Oryctolagus cuniculus: one gene and its partner. The main gene of each other region encodes a partner of the protein of the gene in region 2 in a complex. Links are inferred from orthologs where the notes say so. Each region holds a gene or a part of one and is shown on either strand. Other genes may lie near its edges.

Region 1 (4,179 bases), on a different chromosome or scaffold from region 2:
CTGGGTTGGCAATGGGGAACAGCGGGTTAAGCCACCACCTGCAGCACCACCAGTATCCCACATCACACTGCGAGGTTGAAGTCTCCGATGCTCTGCTTCCGATCCTGGCCCCTGCAAATGCGCCTGGGAAAGCAGCGGCAGATGGACAACGTGCTTGGGCCACTGCCACTCATGTGGGAGACCCAGAGAGAGTTCCAGGCTTCGGCCTGGTCCAGCCCTGGCTATTGCAACTGTTCGGAGCATGAACCAGCAGATGGAAGATTCTCTTTCTCTCTCTCTGTCTCCTTCTCTCTCTAACTCTTACCTTTCAAGTAAAAATAAATACATAAATATAATTAAATAAAAATAACAAATAAAACCAGGTGAAGTTTTCCCAGGAGTAAGCAGAAGCCCTGAGCCAGCAGTGTTGCTCCCTGAAAATGGGGGGGGGGGGGGGGGGGACAAAGGGGTCCCAGGTGGGGCAACATTCCTTCCCCAGCCCGCTAGGGGCTCCCCACTAAGGGTGCTGTCCACACAGCCAGCACGGAGAGCTTCCGGAGCACATCGGGTCCCCGTTTAACCAGCCCACTTGGCCCTTCCAAGAACTCGGCACCAGCGGTGGCCCCTGCACAGAGCTTTGCTCCCCTGGTCTAGCCTGGGCTTCGTGTCCTCTTGGGTCTCAAGGCGACCTCCAGGCCCTGTGTGTCCCGGGATAGCCATCTCTCTGCCACAGCACCTCTGACCTCTGACCCCTGCCCCTCCCCTAAAGCTGGGCTGTTGGCCACCAGCACCTTGTGGCCACCACGCACCCCAAACGACACCGGCCCGAACGGCACCTGCTCCAAATGAAAAAAGACAAAGCCAGACTGTGAAATATTATTTAGTAGATTAGCCTACATAGTATTAACGAAAAGTTTCCTCCTTTTAAAACCGCGCCCACTCGCAGACGCACAAAAATACATCCTCCGGGAGCACCCCGAGGAGCCCCAGGCCCTCGGCTGGCTGCGCGGCCCGGCGCCCTGAACCCAGAACCAAGGCCCATTTTCTCCTGCTGCGGCCGGCTCACGAGTTCCCCAAAACGCGGCGCAGACTCGATTTCCCCGAGGGCTTCCTCGGCGCTCACGGACGCCCCCCGCCCCGACCTCCGCGGGCCCAGGCCGCCACCCTGCCCTCGCCCGAGGCAGCGGGACTCAGGGTCCAGAGCCCGGTTTCGGGCGCCCGGCGCCCCAGGGGCGGGCCGCGCGGAGGGCGGGGCAGGGCCCGGAAGAGGCGGGCCGGGGGCGGGTCCTTGCGGGGCGAGCCAATAAAAGCACGAACGCCGGCACTCGGGCGCAGTCTTGCTCGTGGCTGCTCAGTCTTTGTGCACGCACTATGGCGAGGTCCCTGGGTGTTCCGTTGCTGCTGCTGGCCGCCCTGGTTGTGGCCCTCGCCCTGGCCGTGAGCCCCGCGGCCGGCGCCAGGACGAGGCAGTCGCCGCGCCTGCTGGGCGGCCTGGAGGACGTCGACGCCCAAGAGAAGGACGTGCAGCGCGCCCTGGGCTTCGCGGAGAGCGAGTACAACAAGGGCAGCAACGACAGGTACCACAGCCGCGCGCTGCAGGTGGTGCGCGCTCGCAGGCAGGTGTGTGCCGGGGCGGGCCGGGCTGGGTTGGGGGCCCGGGGATCCGGCCGCGCCCTGGCCGGTGAGTCCCCGGGCGGGCGGGCGGCCTGGAATCCCACCGGACCAGCTGACCGTGTTTGGCGCCTTAGTCATGGGTCCCAGCGCCGGCCTGCTGGAGGCGCCGCAGGGGTCAGGGTCTGGGTGCGTCTGTCTGTGGGTCCCTGTCCCGCGCAGCCCCGGACCCCAGCCTCTTGGGCACCGGGAGCACAGTGGGAGCTGTTCATTAAAGGGCCGTGAGTGGAGTAGAACAAACGGACGGAGCCCGTAGCCCGCCGAGCTTCTGAACACTTCTTTTTGCCTTCTGAACCTGACATAGTTTCCAGTTCACGGAACAGAGGGTGGCAAAGATGCTACAGAGCGTTCTCCAAGAACCCTTCTCCAGCATCCCTCCAACTTCTCAGCGCACCCCTTCCTCTCCCTAACATGCAAGCTTGTTTATGCCTCCGTGTGCTGTGCGTTTCCGGAAAGCAAGCGCTTTCTCTTACCTCCCTAACGCGCGCTTTTGAAAATCAGCCGTCAGCTTGCATGCGCTGAATTGTAATAATGCACAGACCCGGCTGCTGTCGCCATTCTTCCCCTCCCCCCACCTCCACTGCCCAGCTTCCCCAGGCTCAGTGCTGTACGGTCCAGGTCCTAACTCTGATCTGGAGCAGATCCTCAGGCTGTCAACATGAGAGCGGCATCCGTGAGAGGGACTGGGACTTGTTGGTCCGTGATGGGCCAGTGCGTATTTGGCAGCCTCCCTATCGTGTTGTGTCATCTCTGAGGATCACACAGTAGCACGCCTCTCAGACCCCACCCTCTGCTAAGCTGCACATGCCATGACCTGTCCGGGTTAAGCTGATGTTTCCTCCAGGGTACACACCAGTGGTGAGGTGATCCTGCCCCGGGAGTCCTCCTCGGCACAGGCCACTCAGCGGGGCTTTCCTTCCCCTGGGAGAAGCCCTGGGGACTGGTGTCACCACACTGGCCCCTGGCACTACCTGGGCTGTGCTGCTGCAGCAGGTGTGAGGTCAGGCCTCTGGCCAGCAACGGGGTAGGGGCAGCAGGCAGGAGCATCAGCCAGGGCTGAAGCCTGGAACTGGACCTGAGGCCAGAGAGCCGGGCCACTTGGCACCAGCTGAGCGGGGCACACGCTCAGGTCACAGCTCACATCTGCCTTCCCTTGGGAGTTCGGCTGAGTCACGGGCCTGGGCCATGTCTCAGAGGAGTCAGCTAATGTTGGGGCCCTGAGGCTTGTAGCGGGTCCCTGCAGTCCCACGTCTCCTCCAGGGGGACACCGGCTTGGAGTGAGGTGCTGTAGGCCACCTTGGGTCGTGGGTCCATTTTACAGATGGGAAAACCGTCGTCCGAGGGATCCCAGGGCAAGGTCTGAGGCCCTGGCTCCCCCACTCCCAGATCCCTCATCCTGTGCATCCCAAAGCCACTCTGTAACCACCTGCCTGCCTAAAACACAGCGCCCGCTGCCTCCTGCCCTGCCCACAGTTAGTGGGACTTCAGGAACCCTGTCCCTGCAGAGCCCTGCTTTACAGCAGGCCCTTGCCCTGTGCTCCCAGTACATGGAACTGTTTGCCTGCCCCTGGCTGGCTCCCCGGAGCTGTGCCTCATGTTCCTGGAGCTGGCTAAGACATATTTATAGTCCCTGGCTTCCCTCTTACGTTTCCTCTTAATCGCTCCGCCCAGCTGCAGGAGACACCCTATTGGGAGCTGCCTGGACTCAAAGGAGTTGCCAGGGCCTGGGTGTGGCCTGGGAGGGGGAGGCAGCTCCTGTGGCCTTGTGGGTGGCAGTTCTGGCAGCCCAGCAACAACAGCAGAGTGATTGCATGTGTGAAAGTGAAGGGCGTGCTGACTCTTGCTCCTTGCACCCTCCCAGATCGTAAGTGGCGTGAAATACTACTTGGATGTGCTGATAGGCCGGACCACGTGCACTAAGACGCAGACCAACTTGGCCAACTGTCCTTTCCACGACCAGCCGGACCTGCAGAGGGTATGTGCCTGATGGAGGCAGAGGGGAGGGTGTGTGTGTGCGTGTGCAAGCCTGTGCATGTGTGGGGAGAGGTAGCCAGGGGTCCGGGATTCATACGTAGACACACACCGGTGTGAGTTTTGTGTATGTGTGCATGTGGAGAGCAGTAGGGCTGTATGTACCCATGATTAACCTGAATTGCTAAGATAAGGGGGTCTAGCCTGGGCATGGGGGTTTATGGGGAGGGCAGCACGGCTTGCTTTTGGAGGTTGCACCTGCTGGACAAGGATCAGCAGCTGCAGGAGGAGCTGCCTGGAAACGGGGAGAGGGGAGGGGCTCTGTTTAGTCCCAGCCTTGGCCGCCTGCCCCATTGCCCACAGCCCTGCTGAACAGATCAGATGGAATTAGAGGCTTAGGAGTGTCTAGAGCCTTCCAAGACTGCCCCCACTCACTCCACCACCAGCTTCTCCATGGATAGGGCCAGCTCTCGCGAGGTTGCTGCTGTGGAGAGAGCCACTATCCCCTAGTCACTGGCTTCCGCCCTCTGGGGTCTTCCTTCTACACCCCTCCTGCAG
Region 2 (4,100 bases):
CAAGAGAGGCTTCAAGGTTATGGATAGAAATATGCTTCAGGTTTTTTTCCCAAATTAAACGCCGAGAGATTTCATCCACCTAAACAGAGCATAGTCAGTACTTGCATAGACTGTGTGCAAAATGACATAGGTAATACTGTGCAGGTTTTTAGGAGGAAAGCTGAAACTTACAATTATAGATTTTACAATCAAGTTTGGGAACTAACCATGGATTATTATGATCAGGCAAAAAGAAAGATGTAAACTAACACAAATAATGCAACATAAACATCTGGAAAGACATAGAGAAACTGCTTATTTATTAATAGTACTCATTTGAGAAGACTTTCCCAAAGAGAAACACAAGATAGCTTTTTTTTTTTTTTTTTTTGGAAAGGCAGAGATAGAAAGGGGAGGGAGGGAGGGAGGGAAAGAAAGGGAAAGGGCAAGGGAGGGAGGGAGGGAGACCAAAGAGAGAAGAGAGAAAAGAGAGAATGAGAATGAGAATGAATATGAATCTTCCATCCACTGGTTCGCTCCCCAGATGGCTGCAACAACCAGGGCTGGGCCAAGCTGAAACCAGGAGCCAGGAGCTTCTTCCAGGTCTCCCATGTGGATGCAGAGACCCAAGCACTTGGGCCATCTTCTGCTGCTTTCCCAAGCTTATTAGCAGGTAGTTGGGTTGTTAAGTGGGATGCCAGCATCACAGGTGGAGGCTTATCCTGCTATACTACACTGGCCCCAGAAGGACAGGTCTTGGTTTCAGTGAGTTGAGGCACAGCAATGAAAACCATATGCTGTTACAGAACAGGGATAAGGTTGCTTAGTTGGAGTAAAGTACTTTTGTATGGAAGAAGCAAGACTGGAGATCTTTTTTTTTTTTTTTTTCCTGACAGGCAGAGTGGACAGTGAGAGAGAGACAGAGAGAAAGGTCTTCCTTTGCCGTTAGTTCACCCTCCAATGGCCGCCATGCTGCGGCCGGTGCACCGCGCTGATCCGAAGGCAGGAGCCAGGTGCTTCTCCTGGTCTCCCATGCAGGTACAGGGCCCAAGCACTTGGGCCATCCTCCACTGCACTCCCGGGCCACAGCAGAGAGCTGGCCTGGAAGAGGGGCAACCGGGACAGAATCCAGCACCCCGACCGGGACTAGAACCCGGTGTGCCGGCGCCGCAGGTGGAGGATTAGCCTGGTGAGCCGCGGCACCGGCCAAAGACTGGAGATCTCAAGTCCCAGCCCATCTGCCATGCTCCCCTCCAGGTCCCCAGGCACCTTGCTGTTATACTGCTTGCTGTAGGTCTTCTTCCATAGCTCCCACTGGGTGTCCAGTATTTCCTCAGGGTGCAGAGCAAAACTCACCACGGGTAGCAGCAGAACCTTGAGTCCCCACATCCTGAGGAAAGGTGGTAATTAGCTTACCTTGCTTGGCATCAGGAAAACAGCTGGAGTGGTATTCCCAGAAAGGGGCTAGGAGTCATAGCCTCCTTTGAGGAGCTAATATATTAGTCTCTCTTACTTGAAAAATCCATGTCCAAACAATAATCCTAGAGGATACATGAACTCAAAGTTAAGAACCCTTTCCTCTGAATCACAAAACAGAGGGAAACTTGCCTTTGTGAGGACAGCAGAAAACTAAAGGTGATTTTCATACGCTAAAACAAAAAACAGGCGAGCACTAGATTTGTCTGGAATGCTGGCACATTTGGTTCCAAGTATTTTGACCAAGGAGATTCAACTAGCGCCCACACACTTGTACAATCAGACATGAGGTAGCAACTGGACAATCAGGATGGGCTCACCATCTGTCTCTTTTGGGGTCCTCAGCAGGCATGGACACAGACAAGGTGGGAGTGGGGTTAGAGAATACACAAAGGAGACATTCCCAGCTGTTTGCTTCCTGATCAATTTTCGAGACATTCTTTTCTTTTTTGTCTAGATCTTGCCAGGAAAGGCGAAAGGAAATTAACAGTACAAGGAATCTTCAAGAAGTTCACAGAAAATGTGGTTTGTGAAAAAACCCTATGTGGTTCTTAATTTTGCACCAAAATAAACATGCATTTCTCCTTGAACATTTTAAAGTTCCCTGTATTTCCTATTATCCATGTTTACCATCTCTTCACTCTCTATGTACGCCTTTCTTCCTCTTTTTTCATGCTTCCCCTTCCTTAGGCAGGAAGCGGTCTTAATTTCAACCAGATGCTGTCAATAGCAAAGTTTTAGCAAAGTTTCATTTCTGTTTCCAGCAATAAAAAACCTCTGTGACTGGCTGATAAAACAAAAAGCCTCAGGACCAAGGTTTGTTAGAATGTAGCGTGGAAAAGCAATGTTATATATTGAATAAATTCACAGCTTCTCAGAAGCGGATTCATCTCCTGCATCGGACTGCTTGTCTGCAGCAAGTCACAGGACTTGCACAATTCTGAGTCTATAGTCCATTTTTGTGCAATCTTTGCAGACTTGCAAAACACAGCGGAACTTGGGAGATGCCTCAGAGTAGAAAGCACTGAGCTATCACTTTCAGACACTCCTCCTCCCCCCCAATCCTCCAAGTTAACTCTTTTGCTCCCCTGGCCAAAGCAGAAAACTGTATGAGGCTACTTCTGAAGGTCACGCCATCAATTCTATTTTCAACCATGTTCACATACATACAATCGTACAAGGAACGTTACGATTTCTAGGCACATTTGGCCAGGAAAGGATTCAAAGGCATCTATTTTCATCTGCAGCACCTAGTGAGTTTATTTTTATTCCCCAACTCACTAAATTCAAATACTTGTAAAACAAAGAACTAGCAAGGAAGAGAGGCTACAGGATCTAAAAAGTTGAAAATCTTACCTGCTGATGGCTGTGTATGGTTCCTTTCAGCCAGGAAGTGTGCGTAATGTGGGTGGATGACTAGGGGTGCTAGATTTATTCCATCAAGATTGCGGAAGTCAGCTCTAGCAGTCGGCTGGAAATTTTGGATAACGGAGGGAGGCGGGGATAGAAATGCTGAGAAGGGGTGTTAAGAAGGAAGGAGACAGCGGGTTTGCACAGCATTTGTGTTTGTGTGCGTGCAGTGTTATATATGTACCAGGCTGGAGAGTTGCTAAGTATTTAGTTTCGCATGACTGTCTTTGGAGCAGACAGAAAAAAAAAAAAAAAAAAGACCATGACACTCATTAACCAAGCTGGAACTTACCTTCTTCTCTGGTGGGGAAATACAAGGAGTTAGGAAAATGGAAGGACACAGCTTTGTTCTCTCCCATCCTTCTTCTTTAACATCCATTATTGAGGGATTATAATCTTTTCCTAGTATTTTCCTTGTATGATCCACCTCCATAACATTTGATTTGACTCTCTCACTTCTGGGTTAAAGGAATTAAATGTAACAGGCTAGGAAAGGGTAACATAAGGAAAGCCATAGCTTCCAAAATTGTAATTTCTAAGTTGGTGAAAAGCTGTCATCACTTCCAGGCAGGAGACTAGCTTTCCTAGCCTAATATGGTTTTCGTGAGGGAGGAAATGCCCAGAAAATCCAGATGAAACTGGTTCTAAAAGTAACCAAAGCCAACATTCCTGGTTTATGACAGCACTAGAATCAATGCCCTAACTTACGATGGATTCATGTGACTGACGGTATTGCTATAACTCTCAGATGTTGGGAAGCCTGGCGAACATTATGTCTCCATTATTAAAATCTCCAATCTAAGTCCAGTCACATGAGTGTCTCCAAATGCTTCCCCAGCAAAAAAACATGTGACACATCATAAGAATCTAACTCAGTCACCAAATCACACCCCTATTTCCTTCCATAAACAGTTATGAAGAAACAGGAAAAAAAGGTCACTGGAATAGAAAAGATATTTCATAGGATTTGGATTCAGTCTCTAGCTGGATTCCACACAGAGACTCTAAAGAACACAGGTTTAAACTCTAGATTTTAAGAGTTGCTAATAAACCACAGTGGTCCTTAGAGGGAAATCAGCTCTAGACCTGAACAAATTTCCCCATCACTAACTCCTTTAAATCCAGAACAGGACGTAACCAAGGACTTTAAGGCATCAATTATGCACCCTAGTGGTTTCAAGTTCCAACTATACCCTCCCTCTCTCCCAAGAGCCTTGGTAACTCCCACCCCCAAC

The links. Proteins that work in one complex are often made in the same cells at the same time.
Region 1: the proteins of CTSK (region 2) and CST3 are in contact, whole or in part, in a crystal structure (PDB 8V57), measured with the Mus musculus proteins. The link is inferred for Oryctolagus cuniculus from reciprocal best matches to the Homo sapiens genes CTSK and CST3. Residues at the interface, in NP_031828.2 of Mus musculus: Asn132, Gln133, Gly134, Gln135, Cys136, Gly137, Cys139, Trp140, Glu173, Asn174, Tyr175, Cys177, Gly178, Gly179, Gly180, Tyr181, Met182, Ser248, Ala251, Ser252, Gln257, Phe258, Val274, Asn275, His276, Ala277, Ser297, Trp298, Ser301, Trp302; in NP_034106.2 of Mus musculus: Pro27, Arg28, Met29, Leu30, Gly31, Ala32, Pro33, Gln75, Leu76, Val77, Ala78, Val80, Asn81, Tyr122, Pro125, Trp126, Lys127, Thr133.

Annotation. Positions count from the first base shown.
Region 1 is NC_091442.1:47,820,422-47,824,600, reverse strand, and holds the start of CST3 (cystatin-C precursor), read left to right. Parts: upstream 1-1,329; 5' UTR 1,330-1,350; coding exon 1,351-1,599; intron 1,600-3,511; coding exon 3,512-3,625; intron 3,626-4,179. UniProt on the Homo sapiens protein: As an inhibitor of cysteine proteinases, this protein is thought to serve an important physiological role as a local regulator of this enzyme activity.
Region 2 is NC_091438.1:47,266,393-47,270,492, reverse strand, and holds the start of CTSK (cathepsin K precursor), read right to left. Parts: upstream 2,835-4,100; 5' UTR 2,812-2,834; intron 2,473-2,811; exon of another isoform or gene 1,808-2,472; coding exon of another isoform or gene 1,776-1,807; intron 1,370-1,775; coding exon of another isoform or gene 1,369-1,369; coding exon 1,249-1,368; intron 80-1,248; coding exon 1-79. UniProt on the Homo sapiens protein: Thiol protease involved in osteoclastic bone resorption and may participate partially in the disorder of bone remodeling. Displays potent endoprotease activity against fibrinogen at acid pH. May play an important role in extracellular matrix degradation.